3 linked regions of the Tamandua tetradactyla genome follow. The protein of the gene in region 3 purifies or fractionates together with the protein of the main gene of each other region. This does not show direct contact. Links are inferred from orthologs where the notes say so. Each region holds a gene or a part of one and is shown on either strand. Other genes may lie near its edges. The genes, in order: SAP130, KDM5A and SIN3B.

The links.
Region 1: the proteins of SIN3B (region 3) and SAP130 purify together in Homo sapiens (affinity purification with mass spectrometry; 3 studies listed by BioGRID and IntAct, with this or other methods). This does not show direct contact. The link is inferred for Tamandua tetradactyla from reciprocal best matches to the Homo sapiens genes SIN3B and SAP130.
Region 2: the proteins of SIN3B (region 3) and KDM5A purify together in Homo sapiens (affinity purification with mass spectrometry; 4 studies listed by BioGRID and IntAct, with this or other methods). This does not show direct contact. The link is inferred for Tamandua tetradactyla from reciprocal best matches to the Homo sapiens genes SIN3B and KDM5A.

The regions. Positions count from the first base shown.
Region 1 is NC_135329.1:84,674,533-84,684,667, forward strand, and holds the start of SAP130 (histone deacetylase complex subunit SAP130), read left to right. Parts: upstream 1-5,191; 5' UTR 5,192-5,250; coding exon 5,251-5,271; intron 5,272-6,066; coding exon 6,067-6,184; intron 6,185-10,135. UniProt on the Homo sapiens protein: Acts as a transcriptional repressor. May function in the assembly and/or enzymatic activity of the mSin3A corepressor complex or in mediating interactions between the complex and other regulatory complexes.
Region 2 is NC_135333.1:64,210,033-64,220,551, forward strand, and holds the start of KDM5A (lysine-specific demethylase 5A), read left to right. Parts: upstream 1-6,251; 5' UTR 6,252-6,679; coding exon 6,680-6,844; intron 6,845-9,417; coding exon 9,418-9,495; intron 9,496-10,519. UniProt on the Homo sapiens protein: Histone demethylase that specifically demethylates 'Lys-4' of histone H3, thereby playing a central role in histone code. Does not demethylate histone H3 'Lys-9', H3 'Lys-27', H3 'Lys-36', H3 'Lys-79' or H4 'Lys-20'.
Region 3 is NC_135337.1:95,277,226-95,287,542, forward strand, and holds the start of SIN3B (paired amphipathic helix protein Sin3b), read left to right. Parts: upstream 1-5,512; coding exon 5,513-5,617; intron 5,618-5,856; coding exon 5,857-5,963; intron 5,964-7,124; coding exon 7,125-7,278; intron 7,279-10,317.

The sequences.
Region 1 (10,135 bases), on a different chromosome or scaffold from region 3:
GAGTCACCATGGTCACCACTGAGAAAATAGTTCATCGATACTACAGCTTAGATGAGCTGAGTGAGAAAGGCCTAGAAGATGACCTGATGGATTTGATGAAGGAAAAATGATTGTCCTCTATAATCTATTCACTTTTTAATTCCACTGTTTTTGGTTTTACCAGAAACAGCAGCTGCACACATATCCTTATTTAAATATAAAAGTGGACCAGGCAGATTTGCAAGATTTTGTCCTTTTGCATAAATTGGGGAGTTGAGTCTTACCCTAAATTATATTCAAAATAGAACTGCACTGTCTTTAAAAAAGAGAAAGGGGGAGCCTAAAAAATAAGAAGAAGAAAAAAGGTATTGGAATATCTAAAAACAAAACAACAATAACAACAACAAAAAAAAAAACAATGGAGGTGAGTAACTTCCAAGGCATCACATCCTTTATATGTATGGCTCATTTGATCTATATGAGGAGATTGAGAAAAGTAATCGCTTTACAGATGAGGAAACGAGAAGGGACTAGGCTTTCCCTGGCTGGGTATTTGGACCAAGGGGAGCATATGAAACTAGAGAATGCACAAGGATCCAGATGTTAGCATGCCAGGTCCTGCCAGAGTGAGAACCAGCTGGGTTAAGCAGGAGAGAAGCCCATGAAACTTTTATTAACACCAGCAGACCACACACTGACATCTGATTGACTACCACAAGTCACCTGCATTGAGAATTTGTCCTTCTTGTTGGCAGACAGTCCTTCTCTAGAAAACAACTTAGCAGGTGAGGTGTCTAAATTTTTTTGGCTCAACCTTCCATATTATCTTGTGTAGACATCATTTTTAGGAATGCAAGAGAATAGTAAGCTCCTAAAACTTTGGCAGGTGGCTTTAACTCTTGAGTAAGAAGAATGTTTTCAGCCTCAATTAGTATACTAAGCTCAGTAGATGGGAGTTCTAAGTTCAGCAACATAACCTTGAGCAAAGCACCTACCTTCCTTCAAGTGTCCCTTATATAAGGGACTGGAGATAGGAATGAATATGGCAGCAGAGACTGTCCCTGGTAACTAAGGACCACTCAGATTTCATTCATGTGCTATGGATGTATTTGTGATTATACTAGGTAAACTACTGAATGCCACCTGTATATAAAGTCCCATAGATGGAAGAAAGGATGAGTAATTTCTCTCTCATCCTAGTCCAGGAGAAATAAAGGGTAGGCACAATTAGTCTTGGAATAGAGTGCCTGAGGAAATTCCACAGAGGTATTCAGAGAGTAGGGGGGTGTGGGTAGGAATTTGAAGAAAGTTTCTTGGAGAATATAAATCTTCTTTGTTTGTTTTTTGGTTAGGAATTATAGAATTGACAGAATGCTAGCAGATGATTGCAGAAGATTGAGACCTATAGAAAGTATTTCAGGCTTGAGCAAAACTCTGGAAGCCAAACTGTATGGAGAACTGATGGAAACTGTTGCTGAAAAGAGCATTCAGTGTTTGAAGAGGTATAAAGGGTTGAATTACTAAGGCCTTTGAATACTGAACTTAGGGTATTGATTGTATTTGAAAGTTATTGGAACATCATGGGAGGCACAGACAGACTCAGGTAAAGGCTTTAGAAAAAGACCTCTGTGGAGGACTATGCTGGTTTGAAACTGTTATGTACCCCAGAAAAGTCAAGTTTTTAAAAATTCTAACACGATCTTGTGGGGGAAGACTATCATTAAGCGGAGCCTTTTGATTGGGTTTTTCCATGTGACCTGCCCAACTGTGGGTGGGACCTTTTGATTAAATGGAGATATGATCCCACCCATTCAAGGTGGGTCTTAATTAGTTTTCTGGAGTCCTTAAAAGAGTTGACACAGAGAGCAGACACAGATGTTTGGAGATGCACAAGATGCCAGAAGCCCCAGGATATGCCAGACGTTGAGAGAGCTGTTTGAAACCAGAAGCTGGAAGGGACAGCAGAGGTTGCCATGTGCCTTCCCATGCAACAGAGAAACCTCAGACAGAGAAAATCAGCCTTTATTTTGAGAAGGTTTCTGTGCTGGTTTGAAAGGATTTGTGTACCCTAGAAAGGCCGTGTCTTAATCCTAATCCCATTTTATGGAGGCAGCCTTTCTTTAATCCCTATTCAGTACTGTAGGCTGGAAACTTGATTAAATTATCTCTACAGAGATGTGACTCACCCAATTGTGGGTATTAACCTTTCATTAGAGGTGACTCCACCCATCCCAGTTTACTGGAGTTGTTTAAAAGAGGAAGCATTTTGGAGAAAGAGACAGAGCCACTAGAGAACCATAAGAACCATGGGAGAGCCACGAGAACCACAAGAGCCCACGCAGCCAGAGACCTTTGGAGATGAAGAAGGAAAACACCCCAGTGGGAGTTTCATGAAACAAGAAGCCTGGAGAGAAAGCTAGCAGATGCCGCCATGTTTGCCATGTACCTTTCCAGTTGAGAGAGAGACCCTGAACTTCTTGGCCTTTCTTAAGTGATGGTAACCTCTTGTTGGTGCCTTAATTTGGACATTTTTATAGACTTGCTTTAATTGGGAAATGTTCATGGCCTTAGAACTGTAAGCTAGCAACTTAATAAATTCCTCTTTTTAAAAGCCATTTCGTTTCTGGTATATTGCATTCTGGCAGCTAGCAAACTATAACAGTATCCTCTTGTTAGGTGCCTTAATTTGGACATTCTCACAGCCTAAGAATTGTAACTTATAACTTAATAAATCCCCTTTATAAAAGCCAATTCATTTCTGGTATGTTGCATTCTGGCAGCTTTAGCAAACCCAAACAATGATAGACAGGGGTTAGGAAGAGATTAGAAAGGAGGCTGTATTACTGTGATCCAGACAAGAAATGGTGAAGCCCAAGGCTATGGAAGTGATTGGAAAGGATGCAGAAAAGTCATAATGAATACAATATAGCAACTTCGGGAGATGGGAGAGTGAGAAACAAGAAGTCTGACGAAAGACTGAAAGAGTGGTAATGCCCAGGAACCCAGGGAGCAGAGCAGATAGGTGAGGCAAATCAATACAACCTTTTAATAAGTTAAGTTTGAGGAGCTTGTCAGACAGTGATGTGGATTGGTACAGCTCCTGGGTATACCGGGGTACAACTCAGAGAGAGGTCACCGTGTAGGTAAACATTGGAATCACTCACAAATGTGACATTTGAAACTGTGCGAGTTTATTGCCCCATTTATGAAGATAGTAAAGTATCAAAAAAGAGTTGGGGCCTTAGAAAATACCATATTTATTTCAAGAGAAGGTGTGATGAAGCTTGAGCAGAACCAGGAGAGAGTGTGATTATGGAGGCCAGTGGAAGATCATTTTAAGGAGGAATTCCTGGTCATTAACTAAACAACATGAGAACTAAGCAAGGACCACCAAATTTGAAATTGAATACGTCACTGGCCACTTTTAGGGAGCAGTTTGAGAAGGATGGCAGGACCAGAATCCACAAGGGGTAGAGAGAGGAAGCTAAAATATGTAATGCGAGTTACTTTTGGAAGATGTCTGGGAATGAAGGGAAGGGAGAAAGTAGCTTGAGGGAGGAGGGCTGGTATTTGAGACTCACTCTTGTTACTCTGAGCTACTCTCCTCCCAGCAAGCAGCTGTCTTAGACAGCTGTGCAATGATAGGAAGAAGGGATCTGAGCCGGAATTATATCTTAACCCGTCACAGCGCTCCCAGGCCTAATTACTACATAGGGAGGAACGATGGGGACGCAGACCCTCATTTTGCCTCAGCAGCTTTGGCTGCAGGTTTCACGAATGTATAAACTGCACCTATCTGCGCCCGACAACAGAAACAGAATGAACCCATGTCCTTTCCGCGGCTTTACGGCCGCGACAAAGAGCACCAGGACGCGGCGCCCCGGTTCGTAGCCAGGGCCCCCTCTCCGAGTCTGCCTGCTGCGCTGAGGTGCTGGGGCCCCCACGTTGCTTGGGCTTCGCGGGCCAGGGCCTCGGGGACGAGTCAAGTGCCACCACGGCGGAACGCTGACCCGCCACACCACGACCTCCATTGCCCTTTTCGCGCGCCACGGCCCCTTAACGTCTCAGGAAAATGGAACACAGTGCCTCCGACAGTGTCGAAATGGGGGTGACCCGCCGTGTCCCCGGTCGGTGAAGAAAAACAGTAGACGGTGCCCAGACCTCTGAAGGGCCCACAGCTCCAGCCCAGGTCACCAGCAGGCCCCGCCCCGGAGTTTCCCATCGCCCTCGCGGCCCGCCCTCCCGGCTCCATGGACTACATTTCCCAGAAGTCGCCGAGGCCTCGGGAGGCGGGCCCGTCTGCTCTCCCGCTCACTTGGAGCGGCAATTGGTCTTCCCGGGGGAGGGCGGGGCCGGCTGCGGCCAATCGGCGGGAGGCTCGTTACGGCGGCGGAAGCAGCGGCGCTGGGCTGAGGGGTGGGGGGCAGAGTGCTAGTGCCCCGGCGGCGGCGGTGGCGGGTCCGGAGCCCGAGGACGGCGACCCCAGAGGCGGACGGCGCACGGGGGAGAGCTCGAGGCGGCGCGGCGACCACCCGGCGCAGCGCCCAGGTCATGGCGGGACGGGCGCCGGGGCTGGGAGGGGAGGTGGCGAGGGGGCGGGGCGCCGCGCCGGGCAGCAGCGTCCGTCCCGCCGCGCGTCCCCGGGGAAGGGCAGCGGGGCTTGGCGCCCCCAGCCGGGACTCGGGCTCCTTCGCGACCTGGGCACGGCGGTTGTGCCGGCCGCAGGGGCTGGAGTCCCGCTGCGGAGAGGGAAGAGGCGACTGGGAGGGCCGGGCTGGCCGGGCGTGGGGGCGTGGCGGGCCAGGGCCTGGGCGGGGAGCTGAGGGCCGGGGACGCGGGCGGGCGGCCGGGGTAGTTTGGCTCCCGGAGCAGTTTAAAGTGACTCTCCACATCCGGGCCCTGCGCCCGCCGCTTTCAGACCGGGGCCGAGGCGGGGCCTGCCAGCTCCCCGCCCCCTCCGCCGGGAGTGCCCGGCTGCTACGACCATTGGCTCGGTCACCAGGGGCGGGGGCGCCCCGGCCAGGCTCGTACCTGATTGGTCGGTCGTCGGCGGGAGGGAGGGGCGGGCCCGAAGTGCGACGGCCGCAGCGGATTGGCGCTGGCCCCGAGTGACGTGACCGGCGTTGGGCCAATGAGTGGCGGGGGAGGCGGGGGAGCGGGCCGGTGGCCCAGAGGCTGCCAAGCCTTGAGGGCTAGGCGGCCGGCGGGGCTGGACAGCGGCGCGCTTGCCCGGCGTCCCATCCTCGCCCCTCGCCCAGTGCCTCTAGCGACATGGGCCCCCCACGACCCCCGGTGAATGGCGAAATGGGGACGGGTGGCGGGAGACGGCTGCAGGTACCAGGGTGCTGGTTGTCCTGTTCCCCCCAGACGGAGCCCCTGAGACCCCCGGCGGCTGAAACCTCTGTCTCTCTCTGTCGTGGGCTTTGGGGCGGGGAAGCGCCTGCGAACTAATGGAGGAGATCCGGAGAGCTGGGCTCCTGTGGGAAAGTGGGCACGAAAATGACTGAAGCGCTCGGGTCCCTCAGGCTCCTGGGGGGGAGGGGGGTCTGTGAAACCAGGAGAAAAAGAGGAAATCTGTAAAGGCCTTTACAAAAAAAGCATTTGAGAATTTTTTTCTGGTCAGGTCTTGACATACGGTTTCTGATCCTCTCTTAGGATCCGGCATCTCCGTTCTGAATTCTCCTATATGACAGATTGAGTATGGTTCTGTTCACCTTGGTGTCAGGTTTAAACCAATCACAGACAGGCTCCATTCCCCCTAAAACTTTACACGGACACGTGTGCATCATGTCAGTAGCTGTAATGTGGCTGTTGTACAGGATTCCCTGTTCTTTTTTTTTAGTCTACAGTCCACAGGTATTTAGAGGGTCATGGTATCCCCCAGCACTGTAGAAATGATTTTATTAATTGAGCCTGAATACATAGCAGATACAGAATTTAGGTTATTTTTGCCCTGTGTATCCATCATAAGTGATTTTCTTTTTTTTTAGAAAACTTGTTGCATTTGCATTTCTGAGGGAAGATAATATTTAATATTGTTTCTAATCTCAGAATCTAGCCATAATCATATGACTGTATTTACTGCAGGTGGAAATGAGTTCTCAGCAGTTTCCTCGTTTGGGAACCCCTTCCACTGGGCTGAGCCAAACTCCTTCACAGATTTCAAGCAGTGGTTCTGCAGGATTGATAAATCCAACTGCTGCAGGTAAGATTATAATTTTTACACCATATAAGAGTGTGTTGCTCATTTTCTGATTTAAAAATTAGCAAATTTCCCTAGAATTTTAGTAAACACCAAGTAATTTTAATTTGAAAACAGGATATTTTACAAGTCTTTTTGTTTTTTTGTTTTAACCACTTCATTGACATGCATCATTGTATATTGTGCAACTTATAGTAAAGCTTGCCTACAGGAATATATTTTTTAAATGTGTTAATGTGCTCCTGTCCAAGGCTCAGATGTATGGTGATAGCATCATTGGGGAACAGAGGTATGTAAAGTAAAGGATAGGTCTTGCCTTTTAGGAATTTACTACCTGGAAAAGAGGGTAAGAAGTCTTTATGCAAGTTTTGGCTAGGCGCCCCTTAAATGCTGTGGATCCTTGCCTTTCAGTAGAGGATGATTTTGCCTACTAGGGAATGTTTGTCGATCTCTGCAAACATTTTGGTTGTCCCAGTGAAGATGCTACTGGCATCAGTGGGTAGAAGCCAGAGATGCCACTGTTTATCCTGCAGTGCACAGTCACGCTACATAACAAAGAAACACCTGGTCCAACGTCGCAGTAGTGCTGTGGCTACAGAGGCCTGCAGAGCCCTGCTTAGAGGAGAAGTGACCTGGGAGTCAGAAGAGGAAAGTTCCTTACCTTTCAGTGTTGTTCTTGATTCTCTGTCAAATGTTCTCTTTCTCATCTTGCTTTGTATCAAATCAAAAGGTGGCATTGCAAAGTGAAGTGGCTTTGCAAACTGTGTTCCTTATATGGTAGAAGGTGGCGCCATCTACTCATTGCTTGAAGAGCTCAGACATCATCTTTAATTGCTTTGTCTGTGCCTTTTACCTACAAGCTGTGACACCTTTCTCATGTCCCAGTCTCATTTCCTGCTACTTTCCCCTTCTTCCAACCCTTTACCTTTTTTCAGTTTACTTTTTTCAGTTCATTCTCATGCTTGTTAGACTTACAGATACTTTAAACTGCTTTATGCCTCCTGCTTTATATTATCTATTGATTTGATGAACGAATGATGAAACGTTCCCAGTGTTCATGACCTCAGGCCTCTGTACGTTTCATTCCTTTCACTGCCATCTTCCTGTTCACACACACTTCTATGGCTAATTCCTATTCTTCAGGTTTCATCTCAGATGTCGCTTTCTGTGTTGATGGCATCTTTGCCAACTTCATCGTCCACAGTTCAGTCTTAGACCTCCTCTGAGACTGAAGACTACTTGAGGGCTGGGGTTGTGTCTGTCTCATGCTCCTTATGACAAAATAGTGTTCAAGGTAGTGGTCATAAGTTCTTGTTGAGGGACTTGAGGTTCTTTTTATTCCCTAAGAAATATTTTTGACAATATTTTATCTTTGGGATAAATTGATTGAAGGGTTATTTAAAGTATAGTATAGCTAAAGAAAATATTTTGAACACTTATCCTTTGCAAGGAATTACACAGCTCATTTTAGAAAGTGTTAATTAGCAATAATTTCTCTCAAACCTTGTTGGTTAAATGAAAAGAAAGTCATAAGTTTACTTCATAAATTTACTTTTGAAGAGTATATATGTATATGGAAGTTTATTTCTTCAATTACACTAAAAAAGTGTATAAAATTTTTTTCTGAGTAAGGTACAAATTCAATATACAATTATTTCTAAATACCAGCAGTGAACAGTGAAAGTTTTTAAATGTCATTTTCAATAATAGGAAAAAAGCATGACATGTAATCATAACACAAAATTGTGAATGTAATTAATATTGCTGAATTTTCCCCATGAAAGTGGTTAAAATGAGAAGTTTTTTATATGTTACCACAATTTTTTTTTAATCGTGAAATACGTAAGGATAAATTTAACAAAGCATGTGCAAAACCTGTAGTCTGAAAACTAAACATCGCTTAGAGGAATTAAAGAAGACCTACAAAATGAAAAGATATTTCTTGTTCCTGGATTGGAAGACTCAGTAGTTTTAAGTTATCAGTTCTTCCGAAAGGGAGCTATAGAGTCAAAGAAATCCTAAACAGAGTCCAGCGGGCTCTTCTGTAAAATTGTCAATCTGATTCTAAAATTGATAAGGAATTCTGAAGCACCTACAATAGTCATAGCAATTTTGACCCAAAAAATAAAAATTGGAGAACTATAGTACCTCATTCCAAGACTTTTATAAATCTGCGCTAATCAAGACTGTATGGTATTGATAGAAATGTAATTCACTGGAACAGAGTGGAGATCCGGAAATAAACTCACACATTGATTTTTTTACAAAAGTGCAAAGATAATAGGGAAATGATAGTCTTTTCAACAAAATAGTTTTGGAACCATAGAATATCCATATGGAAATAATGAATTTTGACCTTACATTCACTGTACCCAAAAATTAACTCAAAATGTATCATAGGCCTAACTAGAAAACTTAAAATTTCTGTAAGAAAACATGGGAGAAACTGTTGGCAATCTTGAGGTAAGCCAGAATTGCTTAGATCACAAAAACACTATTCATGAGAAAAAAAGTTGATACATTGGACTTCATCACAATTAAAACCGACGGACTGAGAGAAGGCGTTTGTAATAGATGTATCTGCAAAGGATTTATGTGCTGGTTTGAAAGGAAGCATGCCCCCTAAGAAAAGCCATGTGTTAATATAAATCCCATTTCATAAAGGTAAAATAATCTCTATTCAATACTGTATGTTTGAAACTGTAATGAAATCATCTCCCTGATTGATGAGATTTAGTTAAGAATGGTTGTTAAACTGGATTAGGGGATGACATGTCTCCACCCATTTGAGTGGGTCTTGATTAGTTTCTGAAGTCCTATAAAAGAGGAAACATTTTGGAGAATGAGAGACTCAGAGAGGGCAGAGAATGCTGCTGCACCACGAAGCAGAGAGTCCACCAGCCAGTGACCTTTGGAGATGAAGAAGGAAGATGCCTCCCGGGGAGCTTCATGAAATAGGAAGCCAGGAGAGAAAGCTAGCAGATGACGCCGTATTTGCCATGTGCCCTTCCAGCTGAGAGAGAAGCCCTGACTGTGTTTGCCATGTGCCATCTCATTTGAGAGAGAAACCCTGAACTTCATCAGCCTTCTTGAACCAGGGTGTCTTTCCCTGGATGCCTTTGATTGGACATTTCTATAGACTTGTTTTAATTGGGACATTTTCTCGGACTTAGAACTGTAAACTAGCAACTCATTAAATTCCCCTTTTTAAAAACCATTCCGTTTCTGGTATATTGCATTCCAGCAGCTAGCAAACTAGAACAACTTACATCCTGAATATATAAGGAGCCCCTTCAACTCTAGTAAGAGGACAAACAACCTGAATCTTTTTAAGTGGGCAAAGTATTTGAATGCACACTTCATCAAAAAACCTGTCTGAATGTCAAAGAAGCACATGAAAAAATGCTCACCATCATGAATGCTTAGGGCAGTGCAAATTTAAACAGTGAGAACCTACTGCACACCTACCTACCAGAATGACTAAAATTAGAAAGACAGTACCAGGTGTTGGTATGGACCTGGAGCAAGTAGAACGTATATACGTTATTTGGTAGGAATGCAAAATGCTCTAGCCACTTAAGAAAACATATACTTTCCATATGACCCAGTATTCCACTTACTAGGTATTTTTTTTTTAATTTTTTTATTGTATAGTATGACATTATATATATGAAGCGAAGAAATAAAAAAGCAGTAGTTTTCAAAGTACTCTTCAATGAGTGGTTTCAGGACATTTCCAAGAGTTTCTCATGGAATACCATACGATCCTCTCATATTTTTCCTTCTAGCTGCTCCAGAATATAGGAGGCTAGAGGGCTTATTTATTTTCTTATCTCAATTGGCCTTTTTCCTTCTTTTTTTGTGAAACAATAACATATATGCAAAAGCAATAAATTTCAAAAGCACGGTGCCACAATTAGTTGAAGAACATATTTCAGAGTTTGACATGGTTTA
Region 2 (10,519 bases), on a different chromosome or scaffold from region 3:
ACAATTCCAATGGAGGGTCTGGACGAACTCCACAGGAGAAGCTCATCAGCCAAAGCAGGAAGAAAGACTTTCTCCTCTGAATCCTCTTTAAAAGGTTTCCAGTGATTAGATTAAGCATCACTCATTGCAGAAGACATTCCCCTTGGCTGATTACAAATGGAATCAGCTGTGGATACAGCTGACATGATCATGAATTAATTCTATGAAATGTCCTCATTGCAAGAGACAGGCCAGCACTTGCCCAACCAGAAAAACAGGTACTGCCTCTTGGCCAAGTTGGCACATGAACCTGACCATGACACATATTAAGAATATTTCATTAAAAAAAAAATTAATGGACTTTTAAGGAAATTGTGATGATCTAATAAAGTTCAATTAGTGCAGGGTAGCATTCGAAGTGAAGGAAAAAAATGCACATAAGGAAGAGTTTTTAGTTAAAGTATTACATTTGTATCAGGATTTGGAATATTGTGACAACATGTCTTTCATTTAGCCATCAAGAAACATAATTGAAAGTTATAAAGGTAAAGAGAAATTGAATAATGTGTGGCAGCATTTCAATAGAATTATCAGAGTTAAGTATTTATTTTATTCTAGCACTTAGGGTAGTAATACATAATACTGTAATAATATTTAAAAGTTTTTCTTCTGAGATGTTATTTTCAAGGAAAGTTTAAATTATGAAGAAAAAAAACCTAACACCATTAAACTGTAGCTATGGATTCAGCAGATCTGTCCAGAGACCCAAATACTATTGTGACAGTCAATTTAACATCCTGTGTGTAGATTGGTGCCATAGGAACTATAAAACACACATTTTGGGTCTTTATAATAGTTGAGTCTCAAAGGGATGGGTATGGGGGGGTGGGAGGGGGAGGTGGGGAGTCACCTCCTCTTCCTTGGGAAGCATCAGAATCTGAGGTAGGTAGAACTGGAGAACTTTTTTATCCCCACCACAGATTGATTTACTGCCTTTCTCTTACAGACTCACTGCTAGAGAAAGTGATTGTTAACAGATTTCTCAGGAGCATTGAGGCGGATAAAAATTGATTGAGAAATGACCCAGCAATCCCACTGCCAGGTATTGTATCCCAAAGAATTGAAAGCAGTGTTACGAAAAGATATTTTGTACACCAGTCTTCATAGCAGCATTTTTCACAATAGCCAAAAGATGTAAACAACCCAAGTGTCCATATAAACAGAATGTGGTATACACATGCAATGGAATATTATTCAGCCATGAAAAGGAATGAAATTCTGAAACATACGACAACATGGATGAACCTTGAAGACATCATGCTGAACAAAATAAGTTAGACAGAAAAGGGCAAATATTGTACGATCTCACTAAAATGAAATAATTAGAATTAGCAAATCCATAGAGTCAGAAATTAGAATACAGGGTCAAGGGTGGGGGTAGGGAATCAGGAGTTAATGCTTAACTGGTACAGAGCTTGTGTTTAGAGTGATGGTAAAGTTTTTTTATTTTTTTCTAAACATAACATACAAATATGAACATTCTTACCATAAGATCATTTCATTCTTGGTATATAATCAACAGCACAATATCATCACATAGTTGTATATTCATCACCATGATCATTTCTTAGAACATTTGCATCAATTCAGAAAAAGAAATAAAAAGAGAAAGTTCATACATACCATACCCCGTACCCCTCCTTCTCATTAACTGCTAGTATTTCTATCTACCCAATATATTTTAGTCTTTGTTTCCCTTTTTTTTCTATACCCTTTAGATGGTAAAATTTTGGTAATGGATGATGGTAATAGTAACACAACATTGTGGCTGTAATTAACAACATGGAATTATATATTTGAATGTGGCTAAAAGGGAAAAATTTAAGTTGTTTATATGTTACAAGAATAAAAATTTTTAAAATGATAGAGAGTAATTTTCTATGACTATAAGTTCTGTTAGGGTGACAGTTTAAGATAAAGTAATAGGTAAGTATAGCTTGAAAGAACAACAGGAAACAAATAGGGATGATCAAAGTTTTAGGAGTTGGCACTCATAGAGGGCCTATAATAGGATTATAAATATCCTATTATTTATAAAATAACATAAATAAATTATTACTTTATTAATAATTTTAAAGCAAAACCATTATATTTTAATTGAATGCTTAACCAAATGAATTATTTCAGTGTTGTGCCAGTTTGAATGGATGTATGTACTCTAGAAAAGCCATGTTTTAATCCTAATCCCATATTGTAAAGGCAGTCGTTTCTTCTAATCCCTATTCAGTACTGAATGTTTGAAACTATAATTAGATTATCTCCCTGGAGATGTGACTCAATCAAGAGTGGTTGTTAAACTCTACCCATTCCGGGTGGGTCTTGATTAGTTTACTGGAATCCTATAAAAGAGGAAACATTTTGAAGAAAGCAAGAGATTCTAAGAGAGCAGAACAACATAGCCACGAAAAGCAGAGAGTCTACCAGCTAGCAACCTTTGGAGATGAAGGAAAACTCCTCCTGGGGAGCTTCATGAAACAGGAAGCCAGGAGAGAAGCTAACAGATGACACTGTGTTCACCATGTGCCCTTCCAGCCGAGAGAGAAACCCTGATTGTGTTCGTCGTGTGCCTTTCCTCTTGAGAGAGAAACCCTGAACTTCATCGGCCTTCTTGAATCAAGGTATCTTTTCCTGGATACCTTAGATTGGACATTTCTATAGACTTACTTTAATTGGGACATTTTTGTGGCCTTAAAACTGTAAACTTGTAGCTTATTAAATTTCCCTTTTAAAAAGCCATTCTGTTTCTGGTATATTGCACTCCGGCAACTAGCAAACTAGAACAAATGTTTTTATTTAGATTTCAATTATTACTCCTTTTTTTGTGAATAGTATGGCTTTCCAGATGTAAGTAGTAAAAATCTCAGACTTTTATCGTAAATCATTCTAATTGTATGCAATGACTCACACTTCCCTGCATCCATATCCCTTTGCAATGTTATGTTGTTACTCCTCCCATCATGAAATGAAGTCTATTTCACACACACCCTGAATCTAGGATGGCTTTCTAGCTTGTTTTGTTCAACAAAATGCATTGGAAGTGATCGTGTACATCCTGAAATCCAGTCCTTAGGCTTAGGCTTAGGCTTCCATTCTCACCCTCCTGGAACCCTGAAGCCATCATGTTGCGAAAAAGCCCAGTTTAACCATGATGGGTTAATTTCATGTATGCTGGTTTGAAAGGATGTATGCCCCCTAGAAAAGCCATGTTTTAATCAAAATCCCATTTCATAAAGGTAGAATAATTCCTATTCAATACTGTATGTTTGAAACTGTAATCAGATCATTACAATGTTGATGTGTATGTGGATGATGTGATTTAGTCAAGAGTGATTGGTTGTTAAGTTGGATTAGGTGATAACATGTCTCCACCCATTTGGGTGGGTCTTGATTGGTTTACTGGAGTCCTATAAAAGAGGAAATATTTTGGAGAATGGAGATTCAGAGAAAGCAGAGAAGAATGACATAGCCACGAGAAGCAGAGTTCACCAGCCAGCGACCTCTGGAGATGAAGAAGGAAAATGCCTCCCGGGGAGCTTCATGAAACAGTAAGCCAGGAGAGAAAGCTAGCAGATGACTCTGTGCTCGCCATATGCCCTTCCAGATGAGAGAGGAACCCTGACCGTGTTCACCATGTGCCTTTCCAGATGAGAGGGAAACCCTGACTGTGTTTGCCATGTGCCTTCTCACTTAAGAGAGAAACCCTGAACCAAGGTATCTTTCTCTGGAGGCCTTAGATCGGACATCCTATAGATTTGCTTTAATTGGCTCATTTTCTCAGCCTTAGAACTGTAAACTAGCAACTCATTAAATTCCTCTTTTTAAAAGCCATTCTGTTACTAGTATATTGCATTCTGGCAGCTACCAAACTAGAACATCATGTATCACCTTGGCCAGGTTATTCTTTCTAGTTATTTGTCAAACAAGCAGCGGCCTGATTATTACTGGGAGGGTATTGCATGGATTTTAATCATTAGTCAGTCAATTGTCTGTGGATGATTACATCTACAATCAACAAAGGAAACTGCCTTCAGCAATGTGAGAAATCTCCTCATCCAATCAGTTGGAGACCCTAAAGAGAGATCTGAGGATTTTAGCAGTCAGAAATAACTTTTATCTCTATTTCAGCCAGCCCTCCTCTCCTGAGGAATTCAAAATCATCTTCAAGTTCCCAATTTGTGGTCTGTCCAGCAGAATTTAGACTTGCCAATCCCCGTGGTTGGTAATGTGAACCAATTTCCTACAGTAAATCTTAACATTTATATATATAACAAACATACATATGTATACACACACACACACACACACATATACACACACATATATATCCTGTCACTTCTACTTCTCTGGAGAACCCTGACAAATCCACTAATTTGCCAAGTATGAGAAGCTATGTGGAGAACTGGGGCTTCTCAGCCAACAGCCAGCACCATCTGGTAGACATGCAAGTGAGACCATCTCAAACCGTTCAACCCAAGCCATCAGATGATTGTGGCTACATGAGTGATTTCAGATGAGACCAAGAGAACATCAGATTCTGAGGTTGTTTGTTATCCAACAAACAGAAATATTCCCTAAAAGTGTTTGCATATGGGGTTTAGGTTAGTGGGTATGAGTAATTGGGTATTAACTACTGTGGATGCTATAGTTAAACAAAGGAATATTATGTATGTCACATCCTGATACAGTCTCAAACAAAATTTGGCATATGTAAATATAGGATGAGGCAATGAAACACAAGGCAGTTTATTTGGTGAATGTTTTTTATTTATTTAACAAGAATTTATTGCATACCTTCTATGTACCAAGCATCCCCAGGAGCTGGGGATACTTTCCAGAGGAAGTGATATTTCAGCTGATGTATAGGAAGAAGGATACATAGGAATTTAACCAGTAAGAGGATATACATAATTGTTGGAATGGTGTGGGGTCAGGAAAGTACAAAAATGTTCCAGACAGAGGAAATATTACTTGTGAAGGCTCAGAGGTGAGAGTAAGCAGGATGTTTTAAAGCCATCACAAAAATTTATGTGGCATACATGGAGGAGTATAAGCGATGAAGCTAGGAAGAAATACAGAAAGTAGTAAAAGAGTTTGGATATGAAAGTGACAAGATGAATTCTGGGTTTCTAGACAAATTAATCCAGAGTCTGACTGGAGGGGCAAAGAACTGAGCAGTTATCACAGTTTGGGTTAGAGAACTTAAATTAGGATACTGGTAATGAGGACTGATAGACACAGATGGATTTAAAATTTTGGGGTGATACAATCTCCAGTCTTCACACACGATTGTATATAAGGGGAAAAGGAGTATAAGGAGTTAAGGATTATTTCTAGATTTCTGGCTCAAGCAATTGGATGAAATCATTCATAGAACCAGAAACACTGAATGATTTTAAGTGACCCAACTGGAATTGTCCAGTAGGTAGCTGTAAGTATTGGCTTGGAACTGGGTTCAGAAGACTAGGCTGGAAATACAGATTCAGGAGCCTAAATTGGCAATTTAGGTCCGGAGAGTAGCTGAGGCTGCCTGGGGAGTATGTATATCTAAAAAGGGAATCTAGGACGAAAGTTTACCTCCCAGTGTTTACTTAACACTAACGTTTCACAGTTTTCCTTTTAGTCCCTTCTACGTTACTCTCTACAATTTGGAGAAAGTGGGAGATAGACACTGACACACATGTTTCTGACAAGCAATGGTTATGGCTTTCACGGCAAATTGAGAAAGGCTTACGGGGCCAGGGTTGTCAGAAGGAAGTGGTTACTGTTATATGAGATGACTTGGAGCATGACAATTACCGGATAAGCAAGGAAAAGAGCTGCTACGTCTATGTGGGACGAAAAGCAATTCCTGGATGGGAGCTAATGTCCTACTGCAAGACTTGGGGGATAAATTCGACCAGAAGTTGCCATGGAGGAGGGGAATGGCCCAGGAAGATTACTCGAGATACTAGCAGTCAAAAAGACACACACACACAAAAAAAAAAAGAAAGAAAAAAGAAAAAGAGAAGGAGACACGTTGAAAAGGCTAGTAACTTGGTAAAAGGAAGGCAAGTAGGTTAAAACAAGCCGCAAACCACCAGCAACGGGGCGGAGTGAGTGAAGTTAGAACAAGCTCCTTTTCCTGTCCTCTTATACACAAAAGGGAACTGGACCCTCCACACCGGAAGCAGAACCTCTGCCCTCTGAAGCATTACACATTCCTCCGCGCCGGAAGAGCGCGTCCCGCCTCCGCCCCGGCAGCTTTACACCATTTCTACCTCTTCTGGAGGAGTGATCGTGGAACTCTCAAGGGTGGGCCGTCTGGACTCGTCGGACTGCGCAAAACAGTCGCCGGCAAGGAGAGAAGGAGCGACACTGCGCTTCCGGGAAAGGGAGGAAGAAGAAAGGGTCGCATAGCGAGGCGTCGTGGCGGAGGGATTTGATAGTACGTTGACTTCCGGAAAAGTCCTTCCCTTGAGAGGAAAAGCCCCGGAGGAAACAATAACAAACGAGAGGAGGAAGCGAGTCTGGTGTTCCTCTATTGAGCAGTTTTTGTCAGAGAAGATGTGCTTCGGTCCCTGTCAGGGGACGTGAAAGGCTTGGTGGGCTTCAGACAGCCTTTTTCCACCTGTTCGCCCACGGAGCCCTCCTGGGTATTGCCATGGCGGGTGTGGGGCCGGGGGGCTATGCGGCGGAGTTTGTGCCACCCCCGGAATGCCCAGTGTTTGAGCCTAGCTGGGAGGAGTTCACAGACCCACTCAGCTTTATCGGCCGCATCCGGCCTCTGGCCGAGAAAACTGGCATCTGCAAGATCCGACCGCCCAAGGTACTGAAGTCTGTGAGGACTCTTGGTTTAGCTTTATTTTTCCGGTTTTTCTGTCATTACGTATTTATTCACCCTTCTTTTTCAGCAGTTCGAGGCTAAGGTTCTGTATATTATTACCGTGTCTTTTATTTCTGAAGTCGAGATAGTGGTGTGTGTCCCTGGGAGCTTTTCCTTCTAGCGCTTGAAAGCTGATAGTTTTCTCCTTCTTTGGATTGAAGGCATGGGTAACAAAAGGCCTTTCGTTGTCCTACAAGTATGGCCTTCGATGTATTGGGAGTATTAGACTTTAGAAATGTTATGACGTGACATGTACCTCGTGTTCAATCCACATAACGATGCGATTATAAAACTGTTCTTCCTTCTGTTTCTTTATCCAGGTCCTATTACTGTTTAGTTTATTAAATATTCGCAGGCTTCATCTCAGTGTTAGGGTATCTTAATAGGTAATCTGAGCTCTAGTTGTTCCCCAGAAAGAAACGAGAACCCCAGACTGGATTATTGCAGCACTGAAAGTCTTCCCAGGGGTAGAGAAGGAGCAGCATTTATCTTTAAAATTTAGAGGTTTAGGAAGAATTGGTTGTGTCTTGGAGGTGAAAGAAAATGTTGAACTCTCTCGATCCAAGGAACCAAGGATCAAAGATGTACGAGTCGCGTTATTTCTAAATAACCAGATATGTTGTAGGTTTATTACCATCATCGATCTTTAATATAAGTTAAGGAAAACAGATACTACCTCTTTGGGTGAATTAGTGCCCCAAGAGGTTAAGTGATTTGCGCAAGGTCACAAGGTTTATTGGTCGCTTGAGTCATACAGGATCTCAGGTTATCTAGGTATTGTCTTTATCACATTAGACATATGCTTTTCGAATGATATTCTTGGTCCACCTGCACCAGGGTTAACTGGATGCTTGTTAAAATGCAGATTTGTAAGCCTCATTCCCAGACTAGATAGATCAATTTCTGGAATCTGCTTTTCTAGCAAATTACTTTCATATGATTCTTAATGCACATTAAATTTTGTGCACCATTGTCTTGGACAGTGCTTCCAGAAGACACCTTCCTTTATGTTTTGTTTTAGTGGTAGTAAACAAAATATTAGGCACTGTTACTGTGTTGGATTTTAAAAACTTCTCTCTTAGATTGTCATAGAAAATTCATTTGTCCTCACCATAGACTACCACAGCAAATAAAAGGAATTTAGCTGGGAAGCAGGAGGTGGGCAGGGAGGAGAAGCTAATTTAGCCCCTCCTGTTTGGCAAGGGCTTTGTATGTATATATTGTTTCAGTAATCTTCTGTGAAGTTTTAGTAAGTAAATAAAGTCCTCATTTTATAGATGAGGCAAGTCTCCGTAAGTTAAGTCAGTTATTAAGTGTGTGATCATGGGTAAACTGCAAGGTATATTTTTGAACCTAGGTCTGTAAACAGATTCTAAAGACCATGCATGCTATTCCTACTGTGATGAATGAATTGATTAAGATCATAGACTATCAGTTGTAAACAAACAATTAACAGGTAATTACTATGGTGATATGTATCACCATCTTCTAAAAGCTTCAGTAACCCTCATTTTCTGTCAGAATTACCTAATATTGACAAAACCTTCAACATTAAGGTTTTTTTCTAAACTGTATTTTAATCTACTCTGTTGCCTTTATTAATTAGAAATTTTAAATAAAGTTTTAGTAAAATTGAAGACGAAAAAGTTTTAAAGTACTTAATACACATTTGCAAATATGTTTTTACATTTATGTGTAATGTGATATAGCAGTTTACATTCTATATTATGAAAATCTTTAATTAAAAAAAATTTTTTTAAAGAGGTTGAAATAGTATACCTTCTCTTGTGTGTTATATCATTTTTATTGAAATAAATCTTGTTTTACAAGCAGAATTTAATCTTAATATTGGTGGGTTTCTTTAGTTTTCAAGGGAAGATAATTTTTTTGAACTACTACTCAGATTTTTATGTGCCAAGTCAAACTTTATTCTCTAGAACTCCACTTGAAATATGCTATCTCATTTCAGTTATTCCACAGCATCCATCTGGAGATTTTCCTTGTCCTAGTGGGTTTGCAAACTTTTTTTTTTTTTATATTTGGGTTCCAGAAGCTGGGCTTTCATTTAAACAAAGGATTTTTGTAATATAGAATGTAAAGTGCTATGTCACATTACACGTAAGTATAAAAACATATTTCCAAATATATATTAAGTACTTTAAGACTTACTTTTTGTCTTTAATTTTACCTTTTTTAGTTTCTTTCAAATTCTGACTTTTTTTTTTAAATAAAGTTGGATGTTTATTGGTACAGGGGCTCATTGCATTCCACTTGAAATAATTTGGGAAAGCATAATTGTGGGAAATAACAGGACTGGTGAGATTTGAAGAGATATTATTTTTTTGAGTATTATTGAAATTATTTTATCTAAGAAATACAATTCTTTCTGTTTCTCTAATAAAGAGGACTTATAATTTGATTGTTCTTATTATAATCTGTGGCAACTCACCCCTTAAAATAAAGGAATGGATAATATATTCATACCCTTGTGTTAAAAAACAATTCTGTCTATTTAGGATTGGCAACCTCCATTTGCATGTGAAGTAAAAAGCTTTCGCTTCACTCCCCGAGTCCAGCGCCTGAATGAACTTGAGGTGAGTGTTATGTCTCCATTTCTGCATCCTAATTCATTCTTTATGTGAGGACTCCAGAGAGAAATTTGAGAAGCATGTACGAGGGCACAAAGTTAGTGATAATTGGAATTGAGATTTGGAGGAAGTTATCTGATTAATTATGTATTTTTAATGAGAGAAGTTGTAGGTTTAGAGAAAAGTAATGTAAAAAGTACAGTGTTCCTGTATACCCCCCATTGTTGACACTGCATTACTGTGGTACCTTTGTTAAAATTAATGAAAAAATATTAAAATATTAATTGTAGTCTATAGTTTATATTACTTTCCCCCATATACCACCCTATTAGTAACACTCTGCAATAGTGTCATGTATTTGTTGTAATTCATGAAAGAACATTCTCATATTTATACTATTAACTCCAGTCCATCGTCCACAGTAGTGATCACTGTTGTGTAGTCCCATGTTTTGTCTTCTTTCCTTCTTAACCTATCAACCACATTCACAAGAATAATCCAGTGCTATTAATTACGCTCACAGTAATGTGCTACCATCACCACTATCCATTTCCAAATGTTTACATTCAACCTAAATAGAAATTCTGTACAAATTAAGCATTGGCACCCCAGTCTCTACCTCCAGTGTATCCCCAGGTAACCTATATTCTAGATTCTAACTCTGTGAGTTTGCTTTTTATAATTAGTTCATGTCAGTGAGATCATACAGTATTTGTCGTTTTGTTTCTGGCTTATGTCACTCAACATGAAATCCTCAAGGTTCATCCATGTTGCCGCATGCATCAGGACTTCATTCCTTTTCACAGCTGAATAATCCTTTGTATGTATATACATTTTGCTTATCCATTCATTGATTGATGGACATTTGGGTTGTTTCCATCTTTTGGCAATTGTGAAAAATGCCACTGTGAATAGCGGTGTTTAAATGTCTGGGTCCTTGCTTTCAATTCTACTATATACCTAATAGTGGAATTGCCAGATCATATGGCAGTTCTATACTTAGCTTCCTGAGGAATTTCCAATCTGTCTT
Region 3 (10,317 bases):
AAAGGTCTAGTATCCAGAATTTATAAAGAGATAGTTCAACTCAACAACAAAAAGACAGCCAATCCAATTACAAAATGGGAAAAAGACTTGAACAGACACTTCTCAGAAGAGAAAATACAAATGGCCAAAAGGCACATGAAGAGATGCTCAACATCCCTGGCCATTAGAGAAATGCAAATCAAAACCACAATGAGATATCATTCCACACCCACCAGAATGGCCATTATCAACAAAACAGAAAATGACAAGTGCTGGAGAGGATGCGGAGAAAGAGGCACACTTATTCACTGTTGGTGGGAATGTCAAATGGTGCAACCACTGCGGAAGGCAGTTTGGCGGTTCCTCAAAAAGCTGAATATAGAATTGCCATATGACCCAGCAATACCATTGCTAGGTATCTACTCAAAGGACTTAAGGGCAAAGACACAAACGGACATTTGCACACCAATGTTTATAGCAGCATTATTACAATTGCAAGGAGATGGAAACAGCCAAAATGTCCATCAACAGACAAGTGGCTAAACAAACTGTGGTATATACATACGATGGAATATTATGCAGCTTTAAGACAGAACAAACTTATGAAGTATGTAACAACATGGATGGACCTAGAGAACATTATGGTGAGTGAGACTAGCCAAAAACTAAAGGACAAATACTGTATGGTCTCACTGATACAAACTGACATTAGTGAATAAACTTGGAATATGTTGTTGGTAACAGAGTCCAGCAGGAGTTAGAAACAGGATAAGATAATGGGTAATTGGAGCTGAAGGGATACAGACTGTGCAACAGGACTAGATACAAAAACTCAAAAATGGACAGCACAATAATACCTAATCGTAAAGTAATCATGTTAAAACACTGAATGAAGCTGCATCTGAGCTATAGGTTTTTTTTTTTTTTTACTATTATTATCACTTTTATTTTTTTTCTCTATATTAACATTCTATATCTTTTTCTGTTGTGTTGCTAGTTCTTCTAAACTGATGCAAATGTACTAAGAAATGGTGATCATGCATCTTTGTGATGATGTTAAGAATTACTGATTGCATATGTAGAATGGTATGATTTCTAAATGTTGGGTTAATTTCTTTTTTTCCATTAATTAATAAAAAAAATTGCAATAGAGCATAATAAATGTTTTATCAGAATCTTATAAAGTATAATGGTGACCAAAGGTGTGTTAGGGATGGTAAAAAAAAACCTCAGAAATGGACAGCACAATACTACCTAACTGCAATGTAATTATGTTAAAACACTGAATGAAGCTGCATGTGAGAATGATAGAGGGAGGAGGGCTGGGGACATAAATGAAATCAGAAAGAAAGATAGATGGTAAAGATCGAGATGGTATAATCTAGGAATGCCTAGAGTGTATAATAATAGTGAAATGTACTATGTACAAACTTTAAAAATGTTTTTGCATGAGGAAGAACAAAGGAATGTCATTATTGTAGTGTGCTGAAAACAGATGATAATTAATACTTTAAAATGTCACCTTCTGTGTGAGACTAAAGCAAAAAAATGTTTATTTGTTACAAAATTTATATTTTGACTAGAGCATTTCCTAATATAACTCATGTAGATAGTTTGATTGAATGTCGTAAGAACTTGGAATCTGAGGTAGGACATGAGATTTTGTTGGTTTGCCCAGAGTGATGCCCCAATGAATCCCAGAGTGATTTGATCAGTGACTGGAAAAGTATTTGCAAGCCCCCTTCGGGGAATGGTGAGAACTGGGGAAAACTCAACTTCCCCAAGTTGAATTCTTGATATTCTCACAAGCAGTGTGGACAACCAAAGCTATAGGCTGAGCCCCCAGTCTTGGGGTTTGTTCATATGAAACTTAACCCCACAAAGGATAGGTCAAGTCTACTTAAAATTTAGGCCTAAGAGTCACCCCCAAGAGAGCCTCTTTTGTTGCTCAGATGTGGCCTCTCTCTCCAGCCAACATGATGAGCAGTCTCACCACCCTCCCCCTGTCTGCGTGGGACATGACTCCCAGGGGTGTGGACCTTCCTGGCAACGTGGGACAGAGATCCTGGAATGAGCTGAGACTCAACATCAAGGGATTGAGAAAAACCCTAGAATGAGCTGAGAATTAGCATCAAGAGATTGAGAGAACCTTCTCGACCAAAGGGGGAAGAGTGAAATGAGACTAAGTGTCAATGGCTGAGATTCCAAACAGAGTCGAGAGGTTATTCTGCAGGTTATTCTTATGCATTAAGTAGATAGATATCACCTTGTTGTTCAAGATGTAGCAGAGAGACTGGAGGGAACCGCCTGAAAATGTAGAGCTGTGTTCCAGGAGCCATGTTTCTTGATGATGATTGAACAATGATATAGCTTTCACAATGAGACTCTGTGAATGTGAAAACCTTGTGTCTGATGCTCCTTTTAGCTACTATATCAACAGAAGAGTAGAACATATGGAATAAAAATAAATAATAGGGGGAACAAATGTTAAAATAAATTTAGTTTGAAATGCTAGTGGTAAATGAAAGCAAGGGGTAAGGGATATGGTATGTATAATCTTTTTTTTCTTTATTATCGTTTTATTTCTTTTTCTGTTGTCTTTTTATTTCTTTTTCTAAATCGATGCAAATGTTCTAAGAAATGATGAATATGCAACTATGTGATAATATTAAGAATTACTGATTGTATATGTAGAATGGAATGGTATCTTAATGTTTTGTTTGTTAATTTTTTTTAATTAATAAAAAAAAGTTAAAAAAAAAAAAAGATGTAATGGAGAGGCTGGAGGGAACTGCCTGAAAATGTAGATCTGTGTTCCAGTAGCCATGTTTCTTGAAGATGATTGTATAATGCTATAGCTTTCACATTGTGACTGTGTGATTGTGAAAACCTTGTGTCTGATGCTCCTTTTATCTACCTTATGGACAGAGGAGTAAAATATATGGATTAAAAATAAATGAATAATAGGGGGAACAAATTTAAAATAGATTTAGTAGGATGAAATACTAGTGATCAATGAAAGGGAGGGGTAAGGGATATGGTACGTATGAATTTTTTTTCTATTTTCTTCTTCTGGATTCATGCAAACATTCTAAGAAATGATCATGATGATGAATATATATATATATATTTTTTTAAAGTGCAGTTCTACCAGCTAAAGGTCAACCCCCAAAGCCCTAAATTATCCCTAGGATTCTGCTCCCACTCCACTCAGCATCCACCCCCTGCACCTCCTCTCTCCCTCCCTCTCTGCAGTCCAGGAGTGCTGGCCTTTTTGTCTGTTGTAGAACGTGCTGTGCTTCCCCTCCCACCCCAGGGCTCTTGCACAGCCGTTCAATCGGACTTTTCTCAGGGTTAACACCTAGCACCCTTCAGCTCTCAACGGGAGCCCCGCCTCCTGGGGGAAGCCTTCTCCATCTTCTGCTAAACTGGAGTAAGTCCCCCGGGAGGCAGAGAGCATTTTCCAAGACCTGTCATGGCAGCATTTCCCACCTCGCATGCTGTTCCAGACCCTGGCACTGCCCAGTTGTGGGGCCCATCTGCCCTCCTCTCGAAGTGGGGCGGGACCCCATAACTGCCTCTCTGGAAAGGACGCGGTGCAGAAGCCTGTGCATGACTTCCGAGGGCACGAAGGCTGGGGCGCTCCAACCTGGCTGTCTCAGGACACCTGCTCTCGGAACCCAGCTGCACACAGCGTCTCCTCTCTGACCGAGAAGTGACCACTCCCCTGACCCCCACCCCCTCTGCCAGCCCTCCTGCAACTCCCGGAAGCACACAGCCCACCCTGAGGGCATCTTACGTTGAGAAAAAAGCATATCCCCAGATGTTTTCCCAAAATGTGCCCGCAAGCCCCTGGCCGTCAGCATGCTTAGGGCCCTGGGCCTTTTTAATCTAAAGAGTGGGTCCATAGGTGCCGACATACCAGAGCGAACTTTTTGCCATCATGCTGTCTGTCCCAAGGTAGCTGCAGCTTTCTGGAAGTTTCCTAATAAATGCCTAAGGACCAGTCGTCCTGGTGTCCAGTCCTTCTTTCTTCGGAAGCTCAACAGGCCCACTGTGGGGTGGTTTGGGGCAGTCCCAACTGGGTGTCCCCCTCTTTCTTTCTCGATGACTCCTGCTGTTGGTTCAGCGGATGCAACACCATTTCGTCGGGAGACTCCAGCTGCATGGGGAAAGGGAGGTGTCCATGCGATTGTCCCAGGGAAGACCTCACACAGCAGCAAATACCAGGCTTGGGAGAGAGCAAAGCCTCCCAGATGTGGAGGATGAAGAGCTGAGCTCTCCCCTCCCCACCTGCCCCAAGCTGTAGTTTTGTGCATAACATAAGGCTTTAAGCCTTCAAGTCTTGAGTGTGCTTTGTTACTTGGAAATAGTGACTGGAATACTCTGTTACCTCCTCTTGGAAGCATTTGTTACAGTTAAGCCTTTACATCACATGTGTCTGCACAGAAACAATTGTTTGTATAATTCCTATATATCTATCCTAAAAGGCAGAGAGCTCTGGAAGGGCAGAACCAGCTCAGTTTTTTTTTTTAATCATTATTCCATTCCTGATGCCTTACACAGAGCCTGGCACATGATGCCATCATTTCATATTTAGTCTCAGCTTCCCTGCCCATCTTCACATATGAAAAACAAGATGCCACGTGGTCATGAGTTGAATGTTCACTCACTCGATCAGTGCTCGCTGATGTGACCATGTCAGGCAACTGTTTTAGAGATGAAGCATAAAACAAAAATGACATGCCTGGGACTATGAGAATAAAAGGCAGGGTCTGAGAAGCTTCCCAAGGGAGGGGACATTTGAGATGGGTTTTGAAGGATGTGTAGGAGTTTTCTCAGCAACGAGGACACAAAATAGGGACCATGGAGGAGGACATGGCATGTCCTGATATATGGGGGTAGGAAGCAGCCAAGCTGGTTAGGAGTAAGTTGGATGTTCTTCCCTCATAGAGAGCACTTGGCTTGGGTGGGAAATCCTGCCAGGAAAGGTGGGCGGGGGACCAGTTTCTGGTGGTCTTCAACGCTGCGTGAGGCTGCTGAGATTTAATCTCCTAAGACACAGGAAGACCCTGGATGTCTGGAAGCAGAGGTTTAGGAGCGTCTCTTGATGGAGATGGAGGTGAGAAAACTGGGGAAGAGGCTGCTGCCTCAGCTCTGCCTTCCTGGCCCAGCTCTGCCACCTGAGCGCAGAAGCAGCCACAGATTCAGGTGGAAACCCACGTGCGGAGACACTGAATTGTGAATTTCACAGCATTTTCGCGCAACACGAAATGCTCTTCTTTTGTGGATTTCCCCCCACCCCCAACTTTTTAAAACCGCACCGACCACTCCGACAGCGCTCGGTGGCCGGAGAGGTTATGAGCTTGCTCACCTGTTGTAAAAGCTTCACAGAGAGGCCCCGCCCCGAGGAAACCCCGCCCACGCCGAGGAAACCCCGCCCCTCCCGGCCCCACCCCGGGGCGGGGCCCGCGCATGCGCCGCTGGCGGCCGGGCGGGAGGGGCGGGGCGGGCCGCGGCTCCGACTTCCAACATGGCGCACGCTGGCGGCGGCGGCGGCGGCCCCGCGGGTCGGGGGCTTGGGGGCGCCCGCTGGGGCCGCTCGGGTTCCGCGGGCCACGAGAAGCTGCCAGTGCACGTGAGTGGCGCCCCGCCCTCCGCTGGGGACCCAGGTCCTCCCGTCTCCTCCGGTCTCCTCGGGCCGCCCCCCCTCAGGCCCGCGCCCCCCACCCGGCCCCGCCCGGCCCGGGCGCCGCCTCGGCCTCCCCAGACCCCGGCCCCCGCACCCCGGCCCCGACCCTCACCTCCACCGCCCTGCGGGTCCCCGGCCCCCGCTCCGCTGACCCGGGCCCGCCGGGACCCTCCCCCTCCCTGCAGGTGGAGGATGCCCTCACCTACCTGGACCAGGTGAAGATCCGCTTCGGCAGCGACCCTGCCACCTACAACGGCTTCCTGGAGATCATGAAGGAGTTCAAGAGCCAGAGGTGCCCGCGGGGTCCCTTCCTCCTCCCTGGGGGGCCTCCCCTGGGCTGCCCTGCTCTCCCCGAGTGCCGGGTGACCTTGTGCAGGTTGCTGATCCTCTCTGAACCTCAGTGTCGTCTTCTAAAAAATGGGAGTGGGTGGTCCCCACCCCGTGGAGCTGTTAAGGGGATTCCTGGAGGCAGGGCTGCCATTAGGGTGAGGCCAGCAGGGCAAGGGGGGTGGGGGTGGAATCCTGCCTGTTGAGAATGCTGATCTTTAATAGATTCAGCTGATCCAGGAACCCAGGAACTGCTTGCAGTAATTCAGAATCTTGTACAGTATCAAATTAAAATGTTATTTATTCTGAGGTTCTTGGCGATCCCTCCCCTCCACCATAAATTTTGCCCCTGGGGGTGAGGCTGTCGCTGGGCTTCGCCCTAGGCCCGGCCCTGCTTGGAAGCAATGGGGGTAAAATGCTTACTAAGGGACCTGGCACGCAGAAAGCATTTAAAAACACGAGTTGTTTTTGTAGGCACAGAATCAAGAGAGTTAGGGACAGTTGGGGAAGCACAGGACCAGGCGTTTGATTTACAGAAGGCTGGACTGGAACTCAGACCCTCCCACCCATGAATTCTCCCTTGTCTCCTTCCCACCCTGCTGCTCCCCAGTCTCGGGAAACACGGCAGGGCTCTCTTTCTGTGACTGAAGGAGGGCCCATCTCTCCCCTCACGTGCCTGTGCAGTCCTGATATCTACAGGGCCCCCGGTGTTTATACACTGCAGCAAATCGCATGGGCTCGAGACTATCCCACGTCACGTTTGATCCCAAATTCATCCTGTTGTGTGGAGGGCTTTGGCTCCTGCCACTCCTTCGCATCCAGGACTTGCAAGCTCGCTCTCCTGGCCATTTCAGATGCACATGCCCAGGCTCAGAGTGTTTGGGGGAGCAGCCTCATGTCCTGTTGGGGTTCTTCAGGGTCCTCACGGGATGAGCATACAGAGCCAGGCCAGGCTGCCCTGGAAATAGATCATTGCCTATGGAATCTTGCCAGCCGCCAAGACACTCTAGGTGGCCTTGCTGTTGATGATAAGCCGGTGCCGTGGCACTGTCTGGAGACAGCGTAGGGGAGCTTGTGATTTGCTCCCTGGGACCCTTTTGGCCACACGCATCCGTCTTTGTTGTAGCATCGACACTCCTGGTGTCATCCGGCGCGTCTCGCAGCTGTTTCACGAACACCCTGACCTCATCGTGGGATTCAATGCCTTCCTACCCCTCGGCTACAGAATCGACATTCCCAAGAATGGCAAACTAAACGTCCAGTCGCCGCTGACCAGCCAGGTATGCCACTATAGGGGCGTGAGGGGCCATGCGGTGCTGGATGGCGGGCCTGTGCCCCTGTCATCTGGCTGCCTGAAAGGCGCTGGGGCTCCGTCCTTCCCCAAGGTGTGCCGGCTGCTTCCATCCCAAATCAGAATAGATGGCAGCTCCCACCCGGGCAGCAACTGCACCCCAAACGGAGCAGTTGGGAGGACTGAAATCAGGGGTGGAAACATTTGTGTGCGTCAGGGAGGTGATTTTCTAACGCAGAATTTTACTTTTAGTCCAAATAACGGCTTCAGCAGCCGCCACTGCCTCGGTTTAAGACTGAGCCTGGAGTGTCCCTGACAGATCCTTCCAAGTCCCCAGACTTGCCCCTGTCCACCCTGGAAGCTCTCGGTGCCTCCAGTGAAACCCCGTTTTTACGATGAGTGCCTAAATGGCAGTTTTTATTGTTGCCGTGTTTCTTTAATACCTGTTGGGGTTGCTGGCTCAGGTCAGCCTCTCCCACCCCCAGGGTCATGGCTTCAGCTCCCTCCTTCTCTGGTGACAGGTTGCTGTCTCCCTGCAGTCCCTTGTTGTCTGAGCTTACAAGGCCCTCTGAGCCAAAGAAAGCCTATTTGAGCTTTACATTTAGAAGGTAATCATTGAATTTTTCCCAGCACTATTGCCCTTTGGAGCAGTTTGTTGCCGTGGAGGTAGGGTTGGCTGGCCGGTGCCTTGTGGGGTTTTTAAGCAGCGCCCCAGCCTCTACACACTGTATCCTCCAGCTGTTGCAACTGAAACTGCCCCCAGATGCAACCGAGTGACCCTTGGGGACAAAATTGTCCCTGGTTTGAGAACAACTAGTCTTAATGTACTCCTCTGGTCCCTGCCCCCAGGATTTCCGTAGAAAAGGTAAAAATCTGCGCAGGAGGCTCTGGGTAGGTTTCTCCTTTGATGGCAGAGTCACATGAATTAGGGAGTCGGGATCTGGAAAAAGAACTGCGAGAGGCGATGTGGCCGCGGTTGCCCTCTCTCCAGGGGTGGGTTGCACGTCAAGTCCCCATTTGCTGTCTGCCCAGCAAGCTCCCCATCAGCGTGCTGTCTCATTAAAGCTGAAAAGTGCATCTCAGTCTTAGAAACTCGGAAGTCTGGTGGTTGCTGCACGAAGAAGCCCTTCCATTCCATGCTTGCAAATGGATGCAAACGCAGGGCTCATGCCTGCAGTCGCTAAGAGCCTTGGCGGTGCCCAGACGTCGGGGAATGGATGTGAGAGCACTTCACGGAGGCTGAAGCACCTGTGAACATCGGGTGTAGTTAGCATTTGCTGAGAAAGAGCTGGAGTCGCAAGCCCCTAATTGCACTCGGCACATGGAAATTGCTTTTCAGCGACCCCTGACTGTTGGAGTAACTCTGGGGGCTGGGTCTTGGCGTGGAAAGAACTGGTGGGTTCTGAGACGATGCTTCCCTCAGGAGTTGCAGAGTCCCTGCTGCGCCGATGGTGGAAGCTGCCATGCATGTGACAGAGCCGGCTGCCACCCCGTCTCACCCTGCTTGGCTTGGGTGCCAGCGGTCTGTGGCCTTGCAGAAGGCTTTTAAGACCCTTTACTTCACAGCTACTAGACAAGGTTTTACCCTCTGCAGCCTGGAAGCAGCCGTTTCCAGGGCTTCATGTCTTGGTTGGAAAGATGCTTTGAATCCCGCTGTCTCAGTGGGTGTCGATGGATACAATCTGATTTCCAGGCTCTGCTTCCCAGCAGCCCATGTCATCCTCGGCATGCCTTCACTGTAGGGACGAGCGGGGTGACATTTGGGGTCCTGGGAACCCTTTGCAAGGTCCTCATAGCCTGAGGACCTCTTAATCTGCCCTAATGCAAAACCCTCAGGGTGATTTATTTATTGGTTTTTCTCACTTCACCATTTGGAAGTACAGCTTTTTTTTTCATATGTGTAATTTTCCCATTTCTTCATAAATCTCGTCCCCCTCAGACAAGAGTGGCTGCTAGACACCAGGGGTGCTAGTGAGAGAGGCCCAGGCTTTGGGGAGCCTTTGGGCAGGGCTCTGAGCTGCGGTGCTGCTGCCACGTGGGGCCAAGTGTTCTCTGAGGGGGGTGGGGGTGGGGGGGATGGCTTGCAGATGTTGGCCTGTGTCCCAGGCGGGGGGCAGGCTGGCGCAGGTGTAAGCATGCTGCCTGTCTCTTAACAGGAGGGTAGACAGGTGTGGGCCACGATGAGGGGTGCAGGGGAGCCAGCCCCATTTGGGATCTGCTCATCTGGCTTCAATTACAGTGTTGCCTCCTTGGGGAGCCCCTACTGTACCCCCTGGTCAGTCCCAGCCCACCCTGCTCTATATATTCCAGAATAGCTAAGCTGGAATGAGAACGTCAGGCCCATGCTGCTTGTGCTTTGCTTAGGGACTGCGCGTGCTTGAGGTTGGGCCGGCCCCTCCCTGTATTGTCCTCGGCCGTGTCCCCGTTCCCCCAACAGTGCCCGAAGCGTACCGTGTGTTTGCGAAACAGGGACCAGGGAAGGCCCGTGGAAGCTGGCAGAGGGGACAAACAGCCTGGCCCAGGGAGGTGGCAAGGCAGGAGATCCTTGGACTGCTGAAAACGAGAACCCTGGGCTGCTCCTAGGACACCAGGACAGCTGTGAGAGGCGTGGTAGTTCCTGGAACCCACAGGCCTGGCTCTGGAAGGTGTTGCGGGCGCGTCTGCTGGGCGCCCCAGGAGCCACGTGTGATCGCTTGGCTTCTGGCTGCCTGTGGGACGTACCGGCACTCCGGTGCTCACACCCCCAGGCCGAGGAGAGAAAGCTGCGGCGCAGGAACTAGAGCAGGGTCAGCAAACCTAGCAGTGTGTACGTTTTTTGCTGGTTACGTTAAAAAATGTTTTTGTTGTTGAGATAAAATTCACATAGCAAAGAAGTCACCGTTTTAACCATCAGAAAGTATCCAATTTCATTGCTTTTAGTACGTTCCCAATTTTGTACAGCTGTGACCACTGTCTGATTTCAAAATATATCCATCTACCCAAAAAGAAACCCAGTACCTCCAGCCCCCTGCCCCAGCCCCTGGCAACC